3 linked regions of the Daphnia pulex genome follow. The protein of the gene in region 3 purifies or fractionates together with the protein of the main gene of each other region. This does not show direct contact. Links are inferred from orthologs where the notes say so. Each region holds a gene or a part of one and is shown on either strand. Other genes may lie near its edges.

The links.
Region 1: the proteins of succinate--CoA ligase [GDP-forming] subunit beta, mitochondrial-like (region 3) and succinate--CoA ligase [ADP/GDP-forming] subunit alpha, mitochondrial-like fractionate together in Homo sapiens (co-fractionation; 6 studies listed by BioGRID and IntAct, counting the BioPlex papers as one, with this or other methods). This does not show direct contact. The link is inferred for Daphnia pulex from reciprocal best matches to the Homo sapiens genes SUCLG2 and SUCLG1.
Region 2: the proteins of succinate--CoA ligase [GDP-forming] subunit beta, mitochondrial-like (region 3) and succinate dehydrogenase [ubiquinone] flavoprotein subunit, mitochondrial-like fractionate together in Homo sapiens (co-fractionation; 3 studies listed by BioGRID, with this or other methods). This does not show direct contact. The link is inferred for Daphnia pulex from reciprocal best matches to the Homo sapiens genes SUCLG2 and SDHA.

Annotation. Positions count from the first base shown.
Region 1 is NC_060023.1:1,594,927-1,599,955, reverse strand, and holds succinate--CoA ligase [ADP/GDP-forming] subunit alpha, mitochondrial-like, read left to right. Parts: upstream 1-2,234; 5' UTR 2,235-2,509; coding exon 2,510-2,546; intron 2,547-2,640; coding exon 2,641-2,870; intron 2,871-2,932; coding exon 2,933-3,154; intron 3,155-3,226; coding exon 3,227-3,331; intron 3,332-3,400; coding exon 3,401-3,580; intron 3,581-3,647; coding exon 3,648-3,782; intron 3,783-3,847; coding exon 3,848-3,922; 3' UTR 3,923-4,126; downstream 4,127-5,029. Other genes in the region: kinesin-like protein Klp61F, read right to left, coding at 576-768, 888-1,195, 1,297-1,375, 1,453-1,610, 1,684-1,984, 2,059-2,126; programmed cell death protein 4-like, read right to left, coding at 4,474-4,668, 4,738-5,029. UniProt on the Homo sapiens protein: Succinyl-CoA synthetase functions in the citric acid cycle (TCA), coupling the hydrolysis of succinyl-CoA to the synthesis of either ATP or GTP and thus represents the only step of substrate-level phosphorylation in the TCA.
Region 2 is NC_060026.1:13,763,895-13,769,436, reverse strand, and holds succinate dehydrogenase [ubiquinone] flavoprotein subunit, mitochondrial-like, read right to left. Parts: upstream 3,140-5,542; 5' UTR 2,937-3,139; coding exon 2,880-2,936; intron 2,744-2,879; coding exon 2,657-2,743; intron 2,577-2,656; coding exon 2,534-2,576; intron 2,478-2,533; coding exon 2,202-2,477; intron 2,130-2,201; coding exon 2,036-2,129; intron 1,977-2,035; coding exon 1,645-1,976; intron 1,585-1,644; coding exon 1,416-1,584; intron 1,355-1,415; coding exon 1,159-1,354; intron 1,092-1,158; coding exon 894-1,091; intron 834-893; coding exon 297-833; 3' UTR 204-296; downstream 1-203. Other genes in the region: acetyl-coenzyme A synthetase 2-like, mitochondrial, read right to left, coding at 3,819-4,013, 4,090-4,272, 4,332-4,586, 4,648-4,851, 4,915-5,054, 5,120-5,420, 5,485-5,542. UniProt on the Homo sapiens protein: Flavoprotein (FP) subunit of succinate dehydrogenase (SDH) that is involved in complex II of the mitochondrial electron transport chain and is responsible for transferring electrons from succinate to ubiquinone (coenzyme Q).
Region 3 is NC_060028.1:10,150,308-10,155,744, forward strand, and holds succinate--CoA ligase [GDP-forming] subunit beta, mitochondrial-like, read left to right. Parts: upstream 1-1,775; 5' UTR 1,776-2,087; coding exon 2,088-2,147; intron 2,148-2,240; coding exon 2,241-2,379; intron 2,380-2,441; coding exon 2,442-2,541; intron 2,542-2,618; coding exon 2,619-2,771; intron 2,772-2,840; coding exon 2,841-3,063; intron 3,064-3,129; coding exon 3,130-3,346; intron 3,347-3,414; coding exon 3,415-3,549; intron 3,550-3,612; coding exon 3,613-3,741; intron 3,742-3,804; coding exon 3,805-3,911; 3' UTR 3,912-4,010; downstream 4,011-5,437. Other genes in the region: ATP-dependent RNA helicase DDX42-like, read left to right, coding at 4,894-5,258, 5,320-5,402. UniProt on the Homo sapiens protein: GTP-specific succinyl-CoA synthetase functions in the citric acid cycle (TCA), coupling the hydrolysis of succinyl-CoA to the synthesis of GTP and thus represents the only step of substrate-level phosphorylation in the TCA.

The sequences.
Region 1 (5,029 bases), on a different chromosome or scaffold from region 3:
TATTTCTCCCTCCTTGTTAAAAACAAGTGCCAACAACAGACGCACAGTCAGTCGGTCCGCGTGCCCTTTCTGGCCTAAGAATACCCCACCTTTCCTCTGTAGACACTCCACCTTTTACCCGCGGGCGGGACCGACTATCTGTCCCGACTTCTCCTCCTCCTCCTTCTCCCATAAACACCCCATGCAGACCCATCCCAGGAACCCCAAAAGAAAAACAAAAAAATCGATTTTCTTCCTATTCGGTTCCTTCCAGTGAGAAAAAATAACTTTGGAATCTCGAAGGGAAAATAGGAATGACTCAGCATTTGATTGTGTGGTCTTTTCTCTCTCTTTTGGTAAGGGACGATACCTAAACTGCTCTAGACGGACTCCTAATAACATCCACCACCACCACCAACTTTAAATACAAATGGTTGCGTGTGTGGAAAGGCCCTGTCATTAGTCAAGCCAAGCAGCGGCAGTAAGTAGTGTGGGATAGGTCGTTAACACCGGCCAGGATATTTCGAGACAAGTCAGATGAGGGCGGAGGAGAAAGCTGATAGGATTCCGCGCACTCTCAAGTATGCGATGATTACCTTGAGTAGGGCCTTTTTCGTGAGCTTCTGATTGACCTCGGGTCGGTTGGTGATGTTCTTGGCTCGGTGGGCGTAGTCGAGGGTTGATAGAGTCTCCTCCAGGTTGGCGGCCGCTGGCGAGATGGTAGCGATGATAGACGTTTTAGTTCGGCCGCCCAGAGAGTCCTGAAGCAAGCGTGTCAGTTTCGATTCTCTAAATGATTCCAAGAGAAGAGAGAAACATTTCCATTTTAACGTTATTAACGCGTTGAATGACGCATCCATTTTTGTGGCTGTTGGGCGCGGTTGAATCATTTCGTTTAAATTATATACCTGTATGGGATGTGTGGAGCACGCTCGACGAGGGAAGTGATAACACGACCAAGTGTCAGCAACGATTGATTGATATTGCCAGCTTCACGAGCTCGGCGTTCAACGGCCCCAGAACGACCAATGTTCTCACTCCCGGCCAAATCGACCAGGTTCAGTTTGCCAATCTTCATAAGCTCCTCGCCGTCGTCGGTGTTCTCCTTGATGTGAACAGTGATGGAGAAGATGGTATGCGAGCGACTCGAATGGGCATTCATTAGCGTGGCTGCTGTTTGACGCTTGAGCGAGCCTTTAGCCAAAATACTGTAAACCTGTAAGATAAATAACCATGAAATAAGAGATGGTAAACAAAGGACTTAACGCAGCCTTAAAATGTTGGAATGGAAGACAATAGAAATCAGGAAAAACTCACTTCATTTTTGTTGTGCACAGTTACCTCCTCCATGCCTTGGATAATGACTGAGCCCTTCTTGGTTGTGTCATCATACAAGCTTTAACAAATTGAAAGACAAATGTGTTTTTACTAAACGGTCACAAAATTGTTAAAATAATGTAATGAATGACTCACCGAAGTTTGGTAGTGTCATCAGTTCCAGACAGCAAATCGTAGATGTCTTCATTATAAATTTCAATAAATGAAACACGAACTGTACACTCAACTTCTTGAATCCTCAATTCATCAAACAGATGTGACAGCGTTCTAGGAATGATTCCAGAATAAGGGTCCTAAAAGAGTTAACAAACCAAAATTAAAAACAAAGTCTTAACCATGAACAAGTTCTGTTTTCGAAAAACTTACATTTTCCCATGAAGATGACAATTCGTCATGCCTTTCACCCTCCATGGTGAAAGTTTTGCCTGTCCCCGTCTGCCCATATGCAAATACAGTGCAGTTATAGCCTGCCAGCACTTCGTCCACCAATGGAGCGGCAACAACTTTATAGACATCCACTTGCTTTGAATTGCTCCCAAAGACCCGATCAAAGCTGAAAGATTTTGTAAGCGAACTCTTCTCAACCACCTGCACTTCTTTATTGTTGCCAGCTTGAGTTTCAACCACAATGGGTGAACGGGCTGCTTTCTCTTGCGAGCTAACAGGCCTAGGAAATTTCCACAAAAAAAATAACGTTATGTTGAGTTGCAAAAAGACAGTTAGAAAAATAAACGCCCTTACCGAATTCGGACGAAGACTTGGATATTTTGATTTTTATCTCTCATTTCTCTGCGTTTCACTTCGCTCATAATCTGAGCACTACCCTTGCAATTTTAATTAAAATCGAACAAAGACTATGGCGCACTTTATGCAACGGTCATCTAATCGAGGTGACTGAGAGTAAAATTAGGAGGGAGTTCCGGCAGCAGAAAGCAAAAAGCCAGTTAGGTTTGAGAGTTTGAAAGCGAGCTAGACGTTGCCATTTTGTCAAATCCGATCGTTCAAACTATTTTTTGTTGAAAAAACTCAAATTATTATTAAATTAATAAAGAATTCAGTTTTAAATAAACTGAAATAAAAGTGTATAATTAATTACTAATGTAAAATGTGGTATTTTCATTAAAAAATTTACAATGTTGCTTTCATTACTAAACTTGTGTTGACTGTGATCCCACACCAAAATTCACGAAACATGGCCGCTGCTGCTCGAGTTTTATCCCCTTTCTTGGGTAATTAAATATTTTGATTTTAAATGTTTGGTTGATTATTTTTAAGGTATGTGTCTATGGTTCATTTCATTCTAAACCATTATTGTCATTATAGTATCTGTGAGGCCACCAAATGTCGGTGTCAGGTGGTGCTATTCGTCAACTAGACATCAAATGAAATTGACCAAATCAACCCGAGTCCTTTGCCAGGGATTCACGGGAAAACAAGGAACCTTTCACAGCAAGCAGGCCATTGACTATGGTACCAACATGGTTGGTGGAGTTTCCCCAGGAAAGGGAGGCAAAATCCATCTTGGTGTACCCGTTTTCAACACCGTTCTAGAAGTAAATCTCAATCCTTCATTCCAACAAATTATAAAATGGCTAAAAGTTTTAAATCTAAACAGGCTAAAGAAGCAGTGCAACCAGATGCTACAGTCATCTATGTGCCTCCTCCTGGAGCAGCAAAAGCAATCATGGAGGCCATGGATGCTGAAATTCCTTTAATTGTCTGCATCACAGAAGGCATCCCCCAACAAGACATGGTTAAGGTCAAGCATCGCCTTATGAGGCAAAACAAGTCCCGTTTGATTGGTCCCAATTGTCCTGGAATTATTGCTCCTGGCAAGGTAATATATCTGTTAACCTTGTTTCATACACTAAACTTATGCTACAACTATTTATTAACAACCAAACTTTAGTGCAAGATTGGTATCATGCCTGGTCACATCCACCAACAAGGATGTGTTGGCATCGTTTCACGTTCAGGCACTTTGACCTACGAGGCTGTTCATCAAACTACTCAGGTAAATTGCACCATTTTCCTATTCATCCAATTGTTTGTTACTAATGGACTTGTCTCGTTCAACTCACAGGTGGGTCTAGGTCAAACTCTCTGCGTTGGTATTGGTGGTGATCCTTTCAACGGCACCAATTTCATTGACTGTTTGGAAGTGTTTCTTAATGACCCAGAAACCAAGGGAATTATTCTTATCGGCGAGATTGGTGGTGGAGCTGAAGAACGAGCTGCCGAGTACCTGACTCAACACAATTCGGTATACTTACGATCTGTTTACTCCCAAATGAACGAATTCCTTACACAATTTTATTCTATTTTTGCAGGGTGACAACAGGAAACCAGTAGTGTCATTTATTGCTGGCTTGACAGCTCCTCCCGGCCGACGCATGGGTCACGCTGGTGCCATTATTTCTGGTGGCAAAGGCGGTGCTCAAGATAAGATTATGGCTCTTGAACGAGTAAGTTAACAAAATTTAACGCCAAGAGTAGATATGTTAAAACTTCTAAATTTGTAACTTGACAGGCTGGTGTTGTTGTTACTCGAAGTCCAGCTCAGTTGGGCACAACATTGATGAAGGAGATGGTCGGCAAAGTTTGAAAACTTATAACCAACCCAGGGCAATCAAATTAGGTGTGGTTTGATGATTATATAAAGAAATATTAGCCATCTTTGTAAACTAATAAAAAAGATTAGAGAAAAAAACTTCCCGCGGTTTGTACAATTTTATTAAAGTTCTTCTCTTATTTCCAACAAAAACAGGTGTTGAGAGAAAAATACAAAAATCAATTTGAAAGATCAAAACATCTGGTTTATTTAACTTCCAAACCTTTACATGTAATCTTTGAGTAAATAAAAAAAAAAGGAGAAACATTCCATTAATTCTTTTCTTACCAGGATTTGACACCCGAAAAGAGAAAAGTTGAGAGGGAAAAACAAAAATTTTGGAGAACGGTGTCTTTTAGGGTGAGGGTCGTAACAAGAGTGAGAGGGAGGTGGTGGGTTTATGTAGTAACCAAATCATTTCGGTTATTGTATATCTTCTTAAAACACTCAACACTTGACACACAGATTCTCTTTTTCTCTTCATTCTGGATTTGGTTTTTTGGTGGAACCGAACGACAAAAAAAGACTTGATAATTTGCATATTTTTAGTCTTTGAAGCGGCCACCATCACCTTCGGAGACGAAACGCTTGCGTCCCCTAGCGGCATTGCACTTTTGCAACATGGCTTCGTCAATCAGTCCGGCAGTTTTACACTTACCGCCCAATCGTTCCAGGTACAATGCCGCATTTGGTACGTCCAGGCAAATGTCGTCCAGATCATCCAAGACGCGATAAATTCCCTAAATAAAACCACATTCAAATATTAGCATTTGTTGATATGAAAATGAGCAGGAAAGTAGTAAAATTACATTTTTCATCTGATCCGGAGTAACGATAGTGCTGTCGTAAAAGGATTTGAGCAGTTTAACCATGGAATTCTCCGTTTCTTCGTTGGCAGCCTCCAGTGCGAGCACGACGGCTTCGTAGACGAGTTCGTGATGGAAATGGGGCACTTCCAATTCTTTGAGGCATCGGGCCGCCTCCAGTGTATCGTCGGATGATAAATACTCTTGCAACAAGAGTCCCATGGAACGGACCAATGATGCCACTGGGCGCAGGCCTCCACCTACACCCCAGACATTGTCCAAACGAGTCATTCCA
Region 2 (5,542 bases), on a different chromosome or scaffold from region 3:
TGAAAAGACCAAGAGATCAAATTACTTTGACGTGGCCTTGGTGAGGTAGTATAGGTCGATAGCGGACGGAGAATTCTAAAAAAGAGAAAAGAAACTCAAGGATCAAAAGTTACTTAGATGTAAATGATTCAAAACAATAAAATCTAATTACTTCACCTTTCAGAATTTTCCCAACCTAAATTTACAAAAATTGCATGAAAAAATTTGTCAAGAACACCTCAGTAAAATGTATTAGTCTATTTTCAGTGGCTACAATCGGAACACGGCGATAGATACAGGAATTTATTAGTTGTATTTTAATACACGCGCAATGCGGGGGGAACCGTCGCACACTCTTTCTCGTCTAGCGTTTCATCGATGACGGGGCGGTATTGCAAAGTGACATCTCCTTTCTCCTGATCACACCAGGAGAGTGTGTGCTTGCGCCAGTGCTGCTCTAGAGGTTGCTTCTGTTGACCTTCCATCGGCTTCTTGAAGTCGTACTCGTCGACACGGTCTTTGAAATCTTCGCGGGCATGGGCACCGCGAGATTCTTTCCTGGCTTCGGCACTGTAGATGGTCTGAATGCCGTTCAACATGAGGTTCTGGAGCTCAAGGGTCTCAACCAAATCAGAATTCCAGACTAGGCCGCGATCGGCCACCTTGATGTCGTGCAATGATGGCCAAAGATCAGACATCTTCTTACATCCCTCTACCAAAACGTCTCCAGTACGGAAGACGGCTGCGTGATTCTGCATAGTTTTCTGCATCTTGCCACGAAGTTCGGCCGTGGTGACACTACCATTGGCAAAACGAAGCTTGTCCAAATTCGCCACGGAACTTTCGCCAGCGTTCTATCAAGACAAATGATTGAACAACACAAAATCATAGAAAATCAAATAAACGAATATTACCGGACTCAATTTTCCGATAGTTTCGGATGGCTTGTTCTCTTCGGCAATAGTTAGGGCACATGCTCGGCCGAAAACGACCAAATCGAGCAAAGAATTGGCACCCAGGCGGTTAGCACCGTGCACGGATGCGCAGGCAGCTTCTCCAGCAGCGTACAAACCAGGTACAATAACATCAGCTCCATCTTTGTGCGTAATAACCTGGGGATGAAAATAAAATTATTTCAGGAGTCGTTTCATTTGCAAACAAGATGATAAGCGATGTTACCTGGCCCTTGAAGTTCGTGGGAACGCCACCCATGTTGTAATGGACGGTAGGCAACACTGGGATCGGCTCACGAGTGACGTCAACGCCGGCAAAAATCATGGCCGTTTCAGAAATACCAGGAAGGCGTTCAGCCAACTGTTGTGGAGGAAGATGATGAAGTTGAAGGTATACATGATCCTTCTCGGGGCCACAACCGCTACAAGAGCATCAAAGTTTGAGCATAATTATACATTTCTTTGATTTGGCAAAGATATTACCGTCCTTCACGGATTTCAATAGTCATAGCACGAGATACGACGTCACGTGAGGCCAAATCCTTAGCCACTGGAGCGTATCTTTCCATAAATCGTTCGCCTTCGCTGTTGATAAGGTAACCACCTTCTCCACGGCAACCCTCGGTAATGAGACATCCAGCTCCGTAAATTCCTATTGTTATGGTCAAATTTAGTCCAAACGATCTAATAGGCTAATTTGCAATTCCTTTACCAGTAGGATGGAACTGAACGAACTCCAAATCTTGAAGAGGAAGTCCAGCACGAGACACCATGGCGTTACCGTCACCAGTGCAAGTGTGAGCAGAAGTACATGAAAAGAAGGTTCGACCATATCCACCGGTAGCGAGAACAGTGTTCTTGGATCTGAAACGATGGATGGATCCGTCCTCCAAACAAAGAGCGATCACGCCGCGGCATTCGCCTTCCTCCATCAACAGATCCAAAGCAAAATATTCGACGAAGTAATTGCAATCGTAGCGAAGAGACTGGCCGTACAAGGTGTGAAGAAGAGAATGGCCAGTACGATCAGCAACGCAGCAACATCTAGTTAATAATTAAGGATTTTTAATTTCTGCCTTGAAGTTTTAATAATTTAGGTATACCTGTGAGCTTGTCCACCTTTGCCATAATTGTAGGACTGTCCACCAAAAGCCCTCTGGTAGATTTTGCCGTCTTGGGTGCGGCTAAAAGGCATACCTTAATGATATGCGAAGGGGAAATATGATCAATTGTCTGCTGTAGAAGAAATTATTGATAAGTGGGACATACCATAGTTCTCCAACTCAATAACTGCGTGAGGAGCTTCTTTGGTCATGTAATGGATAGCGTCTTGATCTCCAAGCCAATCTGAGCCTTTAACAGTGTCATACATGTGCCACTTCCAGTCATCTTTTTCCATATTTCCCAGAGCTGCATTAATTCCACCTTGGGCAGCAACAGTGTGTGATCGGGTGGGAAACAGCTTTGTGATCACAGCTGTTTTGAATCCTTTTTCAACCAAGCCAAAAGCTGCACGAAGTCCAGCACCACCAGCACCAACAACAACTATAAAACAAACAATTAATACCAATTTTTGTTTAACTGTTATGTAATCAAAATACCTGCATCATAGGTGTGATCAACAACTGGATAGTCTCGGGAAATCTGATTACAAGCCAACAGCAAATAGAAAGGGTTAATTTTTCTCTATCTGATGGGTCTACCAATAAAATTTTACAACTAACCTGGCTTGTTCCAACATTAGAATCCTTGCGTCCATCAATGGTGAAGTGGAAATTACGGTTACCAATCACAGCTGGCCTTGCATTAAGCTACAAATTCCATTTTGGTAACATCTCAATTAGTTATTTGGTCAATATCTTGGGTGAATATCATAATAATACACTAATCTTGATAAATTTTAAAGTTTAACTAAGTTTTATCGACGTTGATATTTTCGACACTCACCAAAGGAGAGGACACCTTTCCAGCCAATTCCAGTGAGAGCTTCAAAATGTTAGCCATGGTTTAAGTGAGAGGTAAAATTGAACCTCTTTCGATGACGAGAACTGCGTTTTTGACTAACTTTTTGGATAGCCAAATTGACCGGACAACGTCGTGTAAAAGTTACGTAAGGAAATGAATAGAAAATCATGCACGGTGTAGAGCTAGCGCTCCAAGCGGATAATAATAGAAGATCCAAAGGACAAACATGGGATAAACAGAAATACCCAAAATTCAAAATATTTTCACTTGAGTAAAGAGAAATGAGTCAAATGAAATTACCCTAAAATAGAAACTCAAAATTTCGGGTACTTGGACTTGGATTTTTAATCAATATCCTATATTTTGAATTTAAGTTTTAACTAGCATAACAAACAAATATTGTTAGCCACTTATCAGCTAGCTAGTAAACTAGCTAGAGCCCAATCAGAACTTGACGTCGTGAATGCAAAATACCGCTCACGATATTCGTTATTGGGACAATCCTTTGATTATCATGAAAGTAAAGCGACACAATCTCTTAAAGATGGCAGTGTATTTCATTGCGATTGTCTTACATTTCAGCACCATATGAAATCATAGGCTTAGTTGTTTTTATTTGTACTTTTGTAATTATTTTTACAACTATAAGGCAGCAGAAGGCGAAGTCAGAAAAAAGCTCAAACCATTCAGTTATGGAAATCCGCTTTCGTTTAGAAGTAACAGAAGAATGTCGAAAGAGTGAGTCAACATAAAATTAGTTAATGCTGGTGATTTAAACGTGAGGTGTCAATAATTCCAAGGACTAAATTTGACCTAATTCCCTTGAATCTTCAGGGTTCGATGGCGATGATGTTTAGTCAACTGTATAACGGACGAAAGAGTCGATGCCATTTGACGTTATGAAATGTCAAAATCATTACACTACAATTTACTAGTCCTAGCTTTATTCAGGTGATTTGATTTTAAGGTTCGATGGCGAGAGACAAGATCCTCGACAACAGCAGGATCAGCCAACGTTGAAATATCACCCAGATTGTCGGTCTCATCCGCCGCAACTTTACGTAATATTCGTCGCATAATCTTGCCGGATCGCGTCTTGGGCAAACTAGGGCAGATCTATTGAAATGTACCACGTCGAGAACCAACATTAGCATTATGATTAAGAAATTTTCCTGCCATTTTATTATTATACCTGTATTACATCCGGAATCGCATAGGCAGCAATTTTCTGCCGGACAATTCCTCTTAATTCAGCTTCTATCTTGGCATCAGCGACGAATCCGTCCTTAAGAGTGACGTAAGCGTAAATGCCTTCGCCCTTGTCACTACAAGGATACCCCACAACGGCTGACTCTGCTACAGACGGATGTTGACCCTGTTGGAACGAAAAACTGTCATCCGAGTTCTTTTAATTTAAAATATTTGTTGTAATACCAGGGCATTTTCCACCTCGGCAGTACCGAGTCGATGTCCAGTAACGTTGATAACGTCATCCATTCTTCCCGTTATCTGATAGTAGCCATCACTGTGTCGAACAGCACCATCACCGGTAAAATAGAAGCCATTAAAAGGTCGATAATAAGTTTCCAGGAAGCGGCTGTGGGTTCCATAAATGGTGCGTGCCATTCCCGGCCAAGGCTTTTTCAAACACAAGGCACCTGTTACATCATTGCCTAACAACTCCTCCCCCTTTGCAGAACAGATTTCCAATCAGGATGAATTTGGAAAATAAATAAATATTAGACATTACCTTTTCTCCTAGAATAGCAGGCCAGATTCCGTACATCGGTCTCATCGGCATACCGGGACGAATTTCTGATCCAGGAGCCGAGGGTGTTGGACTGATGCAAATGCCTCCCGTTTCCGTTTGCCACCAAGTGTCCACAACCACGCATTTCTCTTTGCCCACAACTTTGTTGTACCAGTGCCAAGCCTCCACATTGATGGGTTCACCCTGGGAAGAAAATAACGTTGAACCGTGATCACGTTTAATTAGACACTTAATTTACAATCATACCACAGAGCCTAGAGTGCGAAGGGAGCTGAGATCATACTTTTCGACATGTTCGTCACCGTATTTCAATAATAATCGAATGGCCGTAGGAGCTGCATACAATTGGTTAATTTTTAGTCGCTGGACAGTCTCCCAATATCGACCTGTTGGGAAAACAAGAATTATGTAACGTCAACATTTGAGATCAAATGAATAGTTAAATCGAGACCTGGATTGGGATATGTTGGCGTACTCTCGAACAAAAGAGTCGTGACTCCGTTGGCCAACGGGCCGTACACGACGTAAGAATGGCCCGTGATCCATCCAATGTCAGCCACGCAACCAAAAATGTCTCCTTCTTTGCAATCGAAAACTAAACTATGTGTCAACGACGCATAAAGAAGATAGCCAGCTTGGGAATGAACTATCCCTTTAGGATTTCCCGTGCTGCCGGATGTGTAGAGCATAAACAGCAAATCTTCGCTGTCCAAAACGGCCGGTTCACATTCGCCGCTCTCTTTAACCATCGCCTGACAAAAATTTTCCGTTGGTTAATGTTACACTTAATAGAAAAATTAATTATTTTAAACCAACCTCATCGAGATCGACGTCAAGAGGTGATGAAACGACAGGATTTCCTGTTCTTTTGGCT
Region 3 (5,437 bases):
AATCGATCGGCTTTCGGCGCTCGCTGCACTTTTTTTCCTTTTTACACGCCAGCATCATATCCGCAAGACATTTTAACCAAGTCCAATCGGGTACTCAACGATTGTCGTAGTATATATATAGAGAATGTACAATCACAAAACCAGACCGTCAATAATACCACTCCATTTCCTACATCTTCTTTTCTTTCTTTCTTCTTTTGTGCGTATAGATCCCAGGACGATATGTTCATGATGAAGCCTCATACATACATTTGTTTTGTTATTTCTGCTTACCAAATACGATAGAGTTAAGTAGATGTATATACTGGCAGTGTTGGAATATCTACCACGATTCAACACCAATATAAAACAAGATAAAACCCGTCCCTCCATCTTTTTTTTGAAACGAAACTGTCAAGTTCGCTGGGTCTGTCGGGGGAGAGATAAATAGCCTATCTATAGGTTCCCATCAGAGCTGTTTGACAATCATCACTGGTATAGATCTCTCTCTTAAATATATGCCATCACCCCAATTACCATATAGACAGTTGCTCCGCTTTGGAATCCGTAATTAGCTTAAGTATGTGCCAGCCTATGATGCAAGAACCGTTGTGACAGACGACCGGGTTCTCCAGTTTACACACACAACCCAATACCGTATTTCCTCGTCGTCTATATCTCACAGGCTGCGTATTGACTGTAATATTAGAATGACGTGCTTTTAAAAAGGCAGCTCTTATTATGTTAAGCAGTGCGAGCAGTTCACGAATCACAATTGGACGCTTAAAGACTCGGGATTCAAATATATGCTTCGCGATTCAATTTCTCGAAAGGGAGTAAACATTATTTATTTATTTTTTAAAAAGAGAGTCAATCAATATTCAACAAGGTATTCAGCAGCAATAACGTTGGTTTCCGGTGACATTACTGATGCTGATTTATGCCGGATATATATAGAGAGATAGATATCTATTCATGAGAGCTTGTGCCGACGCGAACATTTAAATTCCCTCTCGATTTCCAATGGAAATCGATAGTTTACTTATAGAATTCAAAATTCGATCCAATAATACGCATGCATATTGCATACCCCGGAGCATTTTCGTAACGGGGTTAATTGTCAATTGTATTTTCTTTTTTTCCTGATGGATATCCTGACAATGAATGTCAACTGCTTACTTTTTTCTTTCTATCTATCTATCCTTTTCGTCTGAAAAGCCGTAGAGATATGAGAAATGCTTCTCTTTGTTTCATTTGTGTCATTCCGCAATAGGCCTGTGTAGCACATAGTCCGCATACCGTTCGTTTATATATATATAGGTCGCATTAATAGTCGCCATCAATCGCAAAACTGAGATTGAGAGAAAGAATGGGTTTCTATTTACAGAGCACTAACTTTTCCATAACCCGGTACTCATAAAATGCTATGGCCGGAGGAGAAGAGGAGCTTTTCCACTTGCAATAAGTTCGCACGAGTAGCAACTCTCGGAGAGAAAAAAAAAAACAGATAAATCGGCAAAGACAATCGAATTTTAACCCAAAGAACAGGAAAAACGAAAGGAAATCCAATAAGGCAATATAATTGCTTTGTTATATTGTCGTTCACCAAGAGACCACCGCATGCGATTTTCATATATGATCTAAGCAGGTTGGGTTGTAATCCAATGCGCTCTTATCTTCGTAATTTTGTTTTTAATTGCTTTTTTGTGGTTTTGTTACATCTTTTAACTGCACAGTGCTCTCTGGTGGAGAAGCAAAGAAACTTTTTCTGATATCTACGCAGTTTTATGTTTTTATCCTGTCGTAAATGTCCCTTTCTTTCAAATCTAAATAAAAAATTACAGTATAGACAATAGAGCAGGATTTACTACATAAGAATTTATAGTAATTTAAAAATTAGAGACTATATCAAACAAGGTTGCACGTTATCTCGATTCGTATACAATTGAGCACGAACACCAAACCTTATTTGACAAATTGATGATCCAAGTGTCGTCTGCTGCAGACTGCAGAGCTGACTGCAGCAATATATTTGTATTCCAACCGTCCTCCACGATTCCCTCATTTTTTTTTACACGTTCGTCCTCAGGAATTAAGTAATATACGCCATGGCATTTCAAATTTCCAATATCAGGAATGTTTTGCGCTTGGGAAAACACGTGCACACCGTAAGTCAAATTTCTTTCTCCTATACTGTGTACCAATCTAGTTTTCTATGATTGTTTTTACCTGTGAGTAATTTGGTTCTCTTGATAATTTAGAAATGGAATATTCAGTCAGTTAGGCACTTGAACTTGCTTGAATATCAAAGCAAATCTCTTTTAGAGAAGTATAATGTGACGGTGCAAAAATTCATAGTTGCAGACAAGATTGAAGACACCAATTCCCTGTCTAAGCTTAGTAAGTTATCATTGGTTAAATATTGTTATGGATTTGTTAAAAATTTGTAATATTCTATTTAGATCCTGGAGAATATGTTGTTAAAGCACAAATTTTAGCTGGAGGACGTGGTTTAGGTGTCTTTGATTCAGGCTTTAAAGGAGGTGTCCACCTTACCAAAGAGTATAAAACAAACTTAACTTAATTATTTCCTCCTTCTCCTTTTACCTATTAAACCAAGCATATTTATTATTTTGCAGTCCAGTAAAAGCCAAAAGTCTTGTTGGTGAAATGTTGAACAAAAGGCTCATTACTAAGCAGACACCTAAAGATGGCATTCCTGTGAATCATGTGATGGTAGCAGAATCAGTTGACATTTTAAGAGAAACCTACCTTTGCATTCTCATGGACAGGTAAATGCAATATAGCTCTTTTTATTGATCAATCAAGGTGATTAACATTTTGCTTTTGTTAATTTATAGAGAATACAATGGACCAGTTATCATTGCCAGTCCTGCTGGTGGAATGGATATAGAAGATGTGGCCCATAAAACTCCTGAACTGATTAAGACTCTACCAGTTGATATTTTTGAAGGGGTCACTGATCAAATGGCAAATGACCTTGCAGAATTTCTTCTTTTCAAAGGGGAATTGAAAAAGAAAGCTGCTCAGGAAATCAAAAACTTGTGGGAAATGTTTCTCAAGGTGGATACATATAGGTGTATTCATTCAAATGAGCTAAAAATAACCCAATTGTTTGTGCTGTTATAGGTGGATGCTGTGCAAGTTGAAATCAATCCCTTCGTTGAAACCCCGCAAGGACAAGTAGTTAGTGTTGACGCCAAGATCGGTTTCGACGACAATGCAAAGTTTCGCCAGCAGGAAATCTTTAACATGGAGGACACAACGGAATGTGATCCTAGGGAAGTAGAAGCCAATAAATATAACTTAAACTACATTGGAATGGATGGAAATATTGGTTGCTTGGGTAAGATAAAAATAAATACATACACCTGCTCGGTTGTTTACTATTATCCATTCTGTAATGGATCACAGTTAATGGGGCTGGACTCGCCATGGCGACGATGGACATTATTCAACTTTATGGAGCTTCTCCTGCAAACTTTCTTGATGTTGGAGGCACTGTTCAAGAACAGCAAGTCCTCCAAGCATTCCAAATCCTCACCTCTGGTACATATAGTTTGAATCGTGTTTACTCGTTAAATTATAATTTTGTTGTTTTTTGTTTTACAGATAAAAATGTCAAAGCTATTCTTGTAAACGTGTTTGGAGGTATTGTCAACTGTGCAACCATCGCATCAGGAATTGTCGGTGCTTGTAAACGCATTGAGTTGAAAGTTCCACTTATCGTTAGACTTGAAGGTAACATTTTTAAGGTATTTTTTTCTCCATTATTAATTAATAACTCAACAAACTTTGTTACAGGAACCAATGTTGATGCAGCAAAGCAGATCCTTAAAGATTCAGGACTTCCAATTCAAAGTGCAAGTGACCTTGATGATGCTGCTAAAAAAGCAGTAGCAAGCATCTAATCCTTAACTGGGATTCTTGTGTATATCTAACCCTTAGATTTATGGACCAAAAAACTGTAGCTATGATTTAAAATAAAAATAAAGGTGGTGCAATATTGATTGGGTACATTTTGCAGAAAAATCAATGTTGTATTTCTTTTTCACTTTATTTACATCACATTTACACTTCTTTGTCATTACAATTTTCCTTTATTTCATGTTGTTTTGAGCTTTTTCTAGCTCATGAAGAAGATCATAAAACTGTTTAAGAGATAATTCCATCACCGTTGTTTCTAATGATGATCCAGTATTTAGCTTCATTTTGATTCTGACATATGTTTGACCTACTTGTTCCTCACAGCTAGAAGCAGCAGTCACTGTAGGGGGAAGACAAATACTGAGAAAAATCAAACTTTGCAAAGTAGTTTTTAAATGTTTACCTCCGAGTTCCCACGCCAAATCAACCAACTGGAAATTCTTCGTCATTTCAATTTTTCATACACTTGTCTATAGGTACCAAACAGGCAATATGATGAGAAAGTCGAGTTTTTCTACAAATATCCTGTAAGTTTATTCTGACAAGTTTTTTATATTTGTGAGATTGTGACATTCGGTGACATTTGCCTGTCTGCTTATCAGCAGTAGTCTGCTCTTGCTGCATTGCCGTCGCATTCAATTAAACATTTAAAAAAAGTACGATTTGCTAATTTCTCGGAAACAATGCATAAACTATATAGCTTAATTATACGGTAGTATTTTTGTTGAAAAATTTAGCTTCTTTAATTTTAAATTTATAAACTTCCAAGACAGAAACTTTTTTGAGCTAGGACTCCTAGGAGTTTGGACAGAGCGGAGTTTGAACTAAAATAGTTCATACGTCTGCCGGTAGTTGTTCCAACTGTATCACAACAAGCAAACACAAGCTCAAAAAGAATTGAACAGGGCTAACTTATTGCGAGTTTGATGAGAGAAACTAAGTACAGTTTTTCAGTTCTAAACAAAAATGAATTCAGGACGTGGTGGTAGTCGATTTTCTGGTTTCAGTGTAGGTCCAAGACCTAGACCGAATGTAAACAAATCTAGTGGCAGTCTTCATGCAGTTCCCCCGCCACCGTCGATGCAAAGACCAGGCAATGCAAACACTATACCTCTAGCCCCAAGATTTTCTCGTCCCGGTTTACCTGGTAGTAGCAGTTTTTCCAGTTCTAACCGATTTCATCCTGCACCTGGGGCTGGTCCCATCAGTGTTGAGATTGTATCACCAGTGTCAGTTAGTAAGCAGGGCTATAGTACTCTAAACGCAATAAGCCAAAGTGCGATAAATACAACATATGGTGTACCCACCAATAGGCCGAAAACAGAAGACGAGTAAGCTAATATGCATGGACATTTGAAATCCCATCTATTTATTTTACATTTACTTTCAAAGTTACTTTGATGAAGATGATGAAGAACCCTCTTCAAATGAACCTCTATATCAACCAGGACCTGATTCACCTAACTTTAAAGCAAGTAAGAAATGTCTTATCAAATGTCAATTATTTAAA